Danio rerio: one gene and its partner. The protein of the gene in region 2 interacts with the protein of the main gene of each other region in a pairwise test. Links are inferred from orthologs where the notes say so. Each region holds a gene or a part of one and is shown on either strand. Other genes may lie near its edges.

Evidence for each region.
Region 1: the proteins of nudt21 (region 2) and rplp1 interact in a two-hybrid assay, tested with the Homo sapiens proteins (2 studies listed by BioGRID and IntAct). The link is inferred for Danio rerio from reciprocal best matches to the Homo sapiens genes NUDT21 and RPLP1.

The regions. Positions count from the first base shown.
Region 1 is NC_133194.1:2,213,844-2,218,096, forward strand, and holds the start of rplp1 (large ribosomal subunit protein P1), read right to left. Parts: upstream 2,957-4,253; 5' UTR 2,839-2,956; coding exon 2,767-2,838; intron 1,479-2,766; coding exon 1,404-1,478; intron 886-1,403; coding exon 774-885; intron 1-773. UniProt on the Homo sapiens protein: Plays an important role in the elongation step of protein synthesis.
Region 2 is NC_133193.1:24,124,029-24,128,147, forward strand, and holds the start of nudt21 (cleavage and polyadenylation specificity factor subunit 5), read right to left. Parts: upstream 2,927-4,119; 5' UTR 2,801-2,926; coding exon 2,682-2,800; intron 364-2,681; coding exon 163-363; intron 1-162. UniProt on the Homo sapiens protein: Component of the cleavage factor Im (CFIm) complex that functions as an activator of the pre-mRNA 3'-end cleavage and polyadenylation processing required for the maturation of pre-mRNA into functional mRNAs.

The sequences.
Region 1 (4,253 bases), on a different chromosome or scaffold from region 2:
CAAACAGATAAAAGATTTTAAATCAATCATCCTCAGATTTAATGCACGCACTGTAACAAGTCAAACATGGCCTTCATTCTATAACGCTTTCAAAATCTTGCATTCATCTCAGATCAAACCCAAGTTTCTGGATGGTTACAACAAAAACAAGTTTATGGATATTTGGTGTGGGGAAAGCTGTAGGCAATGAGTAAATCATGCATTACAAATGTAATAGTATTAAAACTCACTGCAATCGATAGAGTATGTACTTAATAAAACATTGCTAATGGTTTTTAAATGGGGTTCTGAAGTATTTGACATTTACAGTACTGACCATCAAGCATCCCAATTGAATAATTCAGAAATCAACTGCTGAGTAATGGGTTGGGCTGTTTAACAAGATTTAAAATCTGAAGCGAAAATTGTTGTGAAAAGTGTTGCTGAGATGCACAGATGTACTGCTTTCATTGGAAAACCCAGTCAGATAGTTTAATGCAGCTAATTCAATATGAACTTGCTTAAGCTGTAGTAAAATCAGTAGCATATATGACAACATGCCTGAAAAACATCAGTCTTAGCTGCATGATTACTCGCATCATATTATAAAAAATATGAAGAGATGAAGACAACCCCTTCAGGCTATTTCTTTTAATAATTTGTATTTTAGGCTTTCCCAGAGAGAGCACTCTTCACTTTCAGAATCTGTTTTAGGGTTGTTTAGAAGAAGGTGCTACTCAATGTCAGCTTGCACATCATTAAATGTATAGTAACAGATGATGGGTGATGTTTACCTGGAGCGTCTCCACCTGCAGGAGCAGCAGCACCAGCAGCGGCAGCAGGAGCAGCTCCACCTCCTGCTCCAACATTACAGATCAGACTGCCGATGTCCACGCTGGCCAGAGCCTGAACACAAGACACATCCCATCAGACTCGAAACAATTAAGCTGCTGTACAGCGCGAGGGCTTAATTCAAGAGCAATTCTCTGCACAGCAGTTTTTAACAGTCACATGTATATAGAAACGTTTAGGATGATTCAATTCATAGTTTATATTTGTTTGCATGCCTATTTGGTTAACAATTTCATATTTTAACATGCATTAAACATGCATAAAATCTGAGTCTTGAATCATACCATCAAGATGCTCTACAGCAGGGGTGTCCAAACTCGGTGCTGGAGGGCCTGCAGAGTTTAGCCCCAACTTCCTTCAACACACCTGCCTGGATGTTTCTAGTATACCTAGAAAGAGCTTGATAAGCTTGTTCAGGTGTGTTTAATTGGGGTTGGAACTAAAATGTGCAGGACACCAGCCATCCAAGACTGAGTTCGAGCACCCCTGCACTACAGCATGAGGACTTAATGATGGAAGGCATTCACATTTATCTCTCCATCATCCTCCTGTCAGATGTGAAATAAACTTGCCTTAGCGAAGAGACCAGGCCAGAAGGGTTCGATGGTCACACCGGCAGCCTTGATCAGAGCGTTCAGCTTGTCCTCCTGAAAAACACATTCAGAGAGAGTTCATATCAGTGCATCAACTCATTTAATGCAAATACTGTGCAAGACAATAGCAGCGATCAGATCAAAGCAGCAAAATTATTTGTAAGGTTATGGTTTTTGAGATGCTACAATAATATTTGTAGGTCATTACGCCCCCGAACATGCTTTAAATTCACCTCTAATAGTCTCATTCACTTGTTGGTGAAAGTTTTGATTGTGATGTTTGTTATTAGAATATACACTGAGTTATTAAAACAACATCAGAAAAATAATTAATTGGCTAAGTGCAAATCATGCAGCGTATAATTAGACCATTTCAATGTGGTTATGTCATTGGCCCGTGAACATTTCCTGCTTATCAAACCATTTCATAACTGTAACAGGCAGGTCAATCATAACTTAATGTTAAAGCAGCTATCATAACTATCAATTTTGAGTTCTTGAAAGCTATACAAATTTAAAATGCAAAACTGAAAACATGTTGGAACCTTATTTTTTTGTTTACATACCTCAAAATGGTCTACATGTTTTATCTTGATAGACTACTTGGACATGGACTATAACTATTTTTTATGCATTGTAAAGAATTGAAGTACTTGATTATGGTCTTATTCAGCAAATAACAAGATATAAATCTCAACGAATAAGCTACATTGGTGCAGTTATTCAACTAAAAACTGTCAATAAAAAAAAAACCTGTAAACAATCTCCACAACTAAGATGAATGAACTACACACGTACTTTTCACAACATCATTAATTGAGTCTTGCTTTAAGGTGTAAAAAGAATAAACTTTTAAAAGACAGTCTAAAGCTTAAATATTTACACTTTTTTACATGACCATGATAACTAATGCATGCTTATTTAGGAAATACTGTATTAATGAATACCAGCACATGTCAACTGACCAACTTATCTAGTCTTTAGCCTACTAGCTAAAGTGCTAATGTGTCATTAGCATGATACAGGGATGCTAACTTACCAGGTGCTGATAGCTAGTACGTTCAGTTATGCGTGTTTACAGCCACAATGTGAACATTTATCTGAAGTATTTAAGCCGTACAGGATAACGACAGGAAGCGCGCGAAAATGTGCTATAACGTGCTTACTGCTATTCACACAAACACAGCGACTTAACTATCTAATAACACACCAAACATGTGATGTAATTGAACTAGCAAACGCAGAAATACTAAATTAGCACAAAAATCAGGGTAGCATGCGAGAACCGTAGCGGTTGAGTCCCGGATGTTCACGTTTCGCCGGTTAGGAGCTCAACACTCACCGTGACGGTAACTTCATCGTCGTGGAGGATCAGAGCGGAGTAAATACAGGCGAGTTCGGACACAGATGCCATCGTTCTTTCGGTAGGTTAAGTTTTTTGGTGCGGATGGGCAAATTTGACGGTGCTAGTCGCCGGATTGAAGGCCTTAGCTTCGGGAGAAGAACCGAGCACCTCAAATGCTGCGATCTCAGTAAACGGAAAGGGCCGGAAAAGGGTGGAGCGAAGACTTATATAGACTTGTGCGTCACTTCAGTGGGCGAGACAAGTGAAGAAAACAAAAGCTGTGATTGGTTCGTTTGTGATGTCAGTTATTCGCTGTGTATATGTGCTCACGACAGCGCTGACTAGTGAATGAATTAATGAATAAATGAGTATATAAATATATAAATTTAAAATCATATTTAAAATCGTTTACGTGACTGTACTCGGTATTTTATTAGACTTTTGCTTTACTTTGTAATATTAGTGAGGAGCCTTTTAATCTATGGTACTTGTACCGAAGTATAGAATACCAGTAATATTAAGTAGCTATCTATTTTATTATTTATTTATATATCAAATTCCATGATACTGTAAAATTCCCATACTTCGTTTAAGTTATTTACATGGTACTGTAACGAACCGAACTGTCTTAAACCTTTAGTATTATGCTACAGTACTTTTGTCTTATAGAAGTTTTGTAATTCTGAATGTAATTAATTGTGTAGACACATGCCTGGTGATTTTGTATGCACTAAGAGTTCACTTCATGCCCAATAAATAAATAAAACAAAAATGAATGACTATTAAAGCATATATATATATATATATATGTATATATATATATAAAACGACTGTAATAATAAATATAAAATAAATAATATCAGCGACTGTATAATAAATATAAAATAAATAATATCAGCGACTGTATAATAAATATAAAATAAATAATATCAATCACCGTAATAAAAATATAAAAGAAAATGTAAAAAATATCAGAAACTGTAATGAAGCCTTTTAAAATGAATTAAATCAGCGATTGTAATGTCATATAAAATGAACCAGAAACTGTAATAAAGCATATAAAATATAATAATCTAGACAGCCTGTGTAATAAAGTCTCTTTAATTGAGCAGTTTAATCACAGAAACACTTAATGGAATGAACCAAAAACAAACAAACAGACACATCATCGTCATCATCATCATCCTCTCTGAACACACAAACAACAGTCATGTTACTCAAATTAATCCAACAAAAAAGCCATAATCAGTCCGAACCTCTGCTCGTTTGGCACCCTTGAGATATGCTCTTAATTCAAAACACTATCTGAGACTGAATGGAAAAGCCCCATCCAAATACATTCTGTAAAAATGAAACCAATCTCTCCAGCTTCCGGAGCTGTGTGTGTGTGTCTCAGTCCAATAACCAGTGTCATTTCTCCGGTTAGCAGAGCAAAACTGAGCTTAAATAGACAAACGCAGCATCTGTCCTCGGTTTTAGATGAT
Region 2 (4,119 bases):
AACAAACAAAACAATATAAAGAAAAGCAAACAAGCCATTGAAAAATAGTGAACAACAAGTAGGAATATTTAAAGATAGGTTTCTTTATATAACAGCTTAACCACTTAAACAGCAGCACTCTATTGAATTCATCACATCCACAACACACAATCTATAGCTTACAGTTTGAAGAAGGTTGTCCCCAGCTGAAGTAGCAGAACATGAGGGAGTCTGTGCTCGTGCACGATCAGAACACCCTCCACAGTCCGCCGCATCCCGATTTTCTCAAATTCTTCCCGCATCCGCTGAAAGCGTGCGGCTACCGAGCTGTCCTTCTCATAGAGCGGCTCCTTGGTGCCGAATGTGTAATTTGTAAGAGGGTATCTTTGGAAAAACAAACATGTTATTTCATTTAAATTGAGGTGTGATAAAGCTTTAATAATCCACACACTGCAAAACAAAACATAGCATCATAACAAAATAATGAGGGAAAAAAGATGGCAAGCACTGTATGTGGCCGCTAGTAGTAGGGCTGCACAATATATCGTTTCAGCATTGATATCGCAATGTGAACATTCGCAATAGTCAAATCACGAGTATATGCAATGTTGAGTCTGGGTTATAATTTACAATATTTCAAGTGTTTTTGAGGCCTGTGATTGTGTGAGGGTTTTAACAGCATGTGTACAGCTTTTAACTAAAAAATAATAATGATGAATTTGCTTGTTTTATTTTACAATTAATCATTTACTGTACACCTAAATGCAGTTTGACTCCTCAAAAACAATAAAACACTGTTTATGTAATTTGTATTTTTCTTTATTGAATTTTTCTATGCTTGTTTCTTATTTTTTTATGCATGCACTCTTCTACAAAATCATCCCAATCAATCTAAAATTTCTAATTCTTTCCAAATAGGCTTGTAAAATTGTATTTATATTGCAATTTATGTCACAGAACAAAAACATATCCCAATGTTAGATTTTTCAAATACAGTGCAGCCCTAGCCGCTAGTCATGTAAATTTCCATAAAGCTTCAAAACCTTTAAGAATCTTGTTTTCAAATAAGTGGTTGCATATCAAGGGGTCACAAAAAGTCACAATTTATGTAATGGAGGATGCATTTCATCATAATTATTTCAAAAAGTTATTAAAATCCAATGGTTCATGTATCTGTGCGTCTGAATTATGCCAGATTCCCAACTGTATTTATCAAAGCTTGTGATTGGTTTGTTACTGTATATTATTGCAAAATCACTCCCTTAATAAATCACCTAAATTATGAATTCTTTTTGAATAGACCTACTCATTTCATCTAGTAAAATTATCGCAATGTACATCGCAGAGGATTAAAATATCACTTGGTAATTTCTCCCTAATATTGTGCTGCTCTAATTTTGACCAGAAGGCATTACCAATCTGTGGTATTTTGAATGTTTAAAGGTTTTGTGAAGTGCTTTGAAATGGGCATTTATATTCCATGTTTGAGGTAATCTCAACTGAAACATAATGAAATGGTGGCAGTTCCTCCCCTTTAGAAAATAAAAACAGAGAATAGCGTTTTGTTTTTATCACAAACAATCTCTGCCAATGAGAGTGTTTGAGCTTAAGGCATCAAATGAATAGCAAATGAGAACCATCTTGGCAGGGGGTGGGGTTTATGCTCACATACTAGAGAGCATTTGATTGGTCAAGATTTGGTGAGTAAGTAAAACATGAAGTGACCTATGAATAATCATAGATTAGGCGGAAGTGACAAACTGCGGGCTTTAGATGTGTATATATCTTATAACGCAAATTGAGTCACTGTTTGAGCACACTAGCTTATAGATATCCTCAAAACTAACATCTAAAAAGCTTTATTTTTACTTTTTATTTTATTTCACAGGTCCTACCTTTAAAAGAGCAATCATTTATTAATTTTATACAAAGTGTAATTTGGATCTTGTGCTCGCCTATTATGGGCGTTTCATTCCATTGTGTTTTCATACAGCTTTTTGTACAAATTAAAAATAATACTCCCAAATAAGGGTTTCAATATCAAATTTGAATTTACATTAAAGATCATTCATATTAATATTTGATTAACATTGGCATAAGGTTAGCGTTATTAACAAAATCAACAATTATAATAACAATTCTACCGTCACTCAATATAATCAATGATTGGGATTTGTTTACGTAACTTGCTCAAGAATTCGACTGTTTGATTTCTAAGTCATACTTAACGTTACACCAAAATAATAACAAATAACACCATAAACCACAAATAATCAAATAACATTTCAATAACATTGCGCCTGTCGACTAATGTTAGTGATATTTTCGAATAAATGTGCAAAGAGCCCTAGGATAAATCACCGAGAACAATGCTAACTGCAACATATGGAATACAAAACTAATAAGAACTATATCGAACTCTTATATTTCAATATCCCTGCATATGTACACACTGCCATAAATGTGCATGCATTTTGCCACATAAAAAACAAAACTCTGAATATTTCACTGTATTGTTACGCATGCAAACAAGAGCTGGCAGCAAGAAGCTACGGTAGTCTGCCATGGTCAAACGCTAACAATGCTAACGTACTGACATGAAAGGCACAATGCAGCAGCACTAGGATTTACAACCATTAAAGCTTGTTTAAGTAATCGCATATATCGTTTGTAGTGTTGAATTTTAAGTTCAAGTTACTCACAGGTTGATTGTTCTCTCCAGGGTGAGGGGTTTAGTCGCCTGGGTAATGTATTTATTGCCGAACTGATTTACTCCTCGAGGCCAACCGGTAGATGATCGATTAGGAGGTACAACTGACATCGTATGACGGATTATTAAATCACTTCCTAATATTTGCACTAATCGCGTTTTTTTCCACGTTGATTACTTTATTACTGTGATTGAATTGCACAGCCTTGGCGCTCGATGAAAACTGGAATACGGCGCTCTGCTGTGAAAGCACATCCGGGACATTGGGTTACTTCCTGTGTTACGACCGTGTGTTTCGGCTCTTCAGATTTTTCTCATCTGATCTATGAGCAAGAGTTGTTTTCCACATTATAAGTAGTGGGTTTGAACAGTCCAGACACGATTCAAACCCTTACCCTTCAAACAGAGGGTTTGTGGTTGTTTATTACACTTTTCTGCCTGCTACAAGGCGTGTTTTGGTGTCTGTTAACCTGACATCACAAACACAAGAATACCACAGAAATGTCCAAACTAGATTATTAAACCATGTATTAATCAGAAAAAGACAGTAACAATTAAACCACTTATATAGCCTGTAATAGTTATTTAGGGAATTTTACCATTTAATGTTTGCAAGATTGCTTTGTGTATACGTAGCCTAATTTTTGCTTTAATGTAAACAGAACAGTTTTTTTAATACTTTATACGGACCTTTGGTGTTTTTAAAACATCATCAGTCGGTGCTATTCCCACATATCAAAAAATATCTGGCCCACATAATCAGCTTTTGCTTGGCCCACTTGCGGCAGTAAATTATGGTATATGAGTGGACCAATTCTGGCTTTTAGACAAGGACCAAACATGGACAATATCTGGGCCAAGTCTCAGACAAGTTAATAACCCATAACTGAGCCTAAACTTCACCAGATATGTTTTTGTATCCCGTCTGCAATGAAATTGATATACTCAGGGATCATTGCGCTTTAGGCATGCTATGGGCTTGCTTTTTCTCGAAGCGATGATTGGTACTTGGTAGAATTTTTTTCTTTATTTGAAAATAATAAAAATGTATTTTAAATGTGGGTCAAGATAAGCCTAACGTTCATGGCTCATATATCAATTGTTAACATCTGGCCCGAGTAGGCCTATTGTGTGCCGTCTTAAAGACGGTGCCACCTCTGCCAAACCAGGGCCATGTTTGGCCTACATGCTGTATGCCAGTGCCAGACAAATGCCTGCCCTGCCAGATATATGCCATATCTGGGTCAGAATTCTTTTCTACCTGTGTTGGAGGCACAACAAGTTAGCCTACACTGAATCACTTGCATATTTTGCTAAACATGTGATCAATTATTGCCATTCTTTAAGCCAGGAATGTCAAACTCAGTTCCTGGAGGGCCGCAACCTTGCACAGTTTAGCTTCAACCCTGCTTCGATATACTTACCTGAAA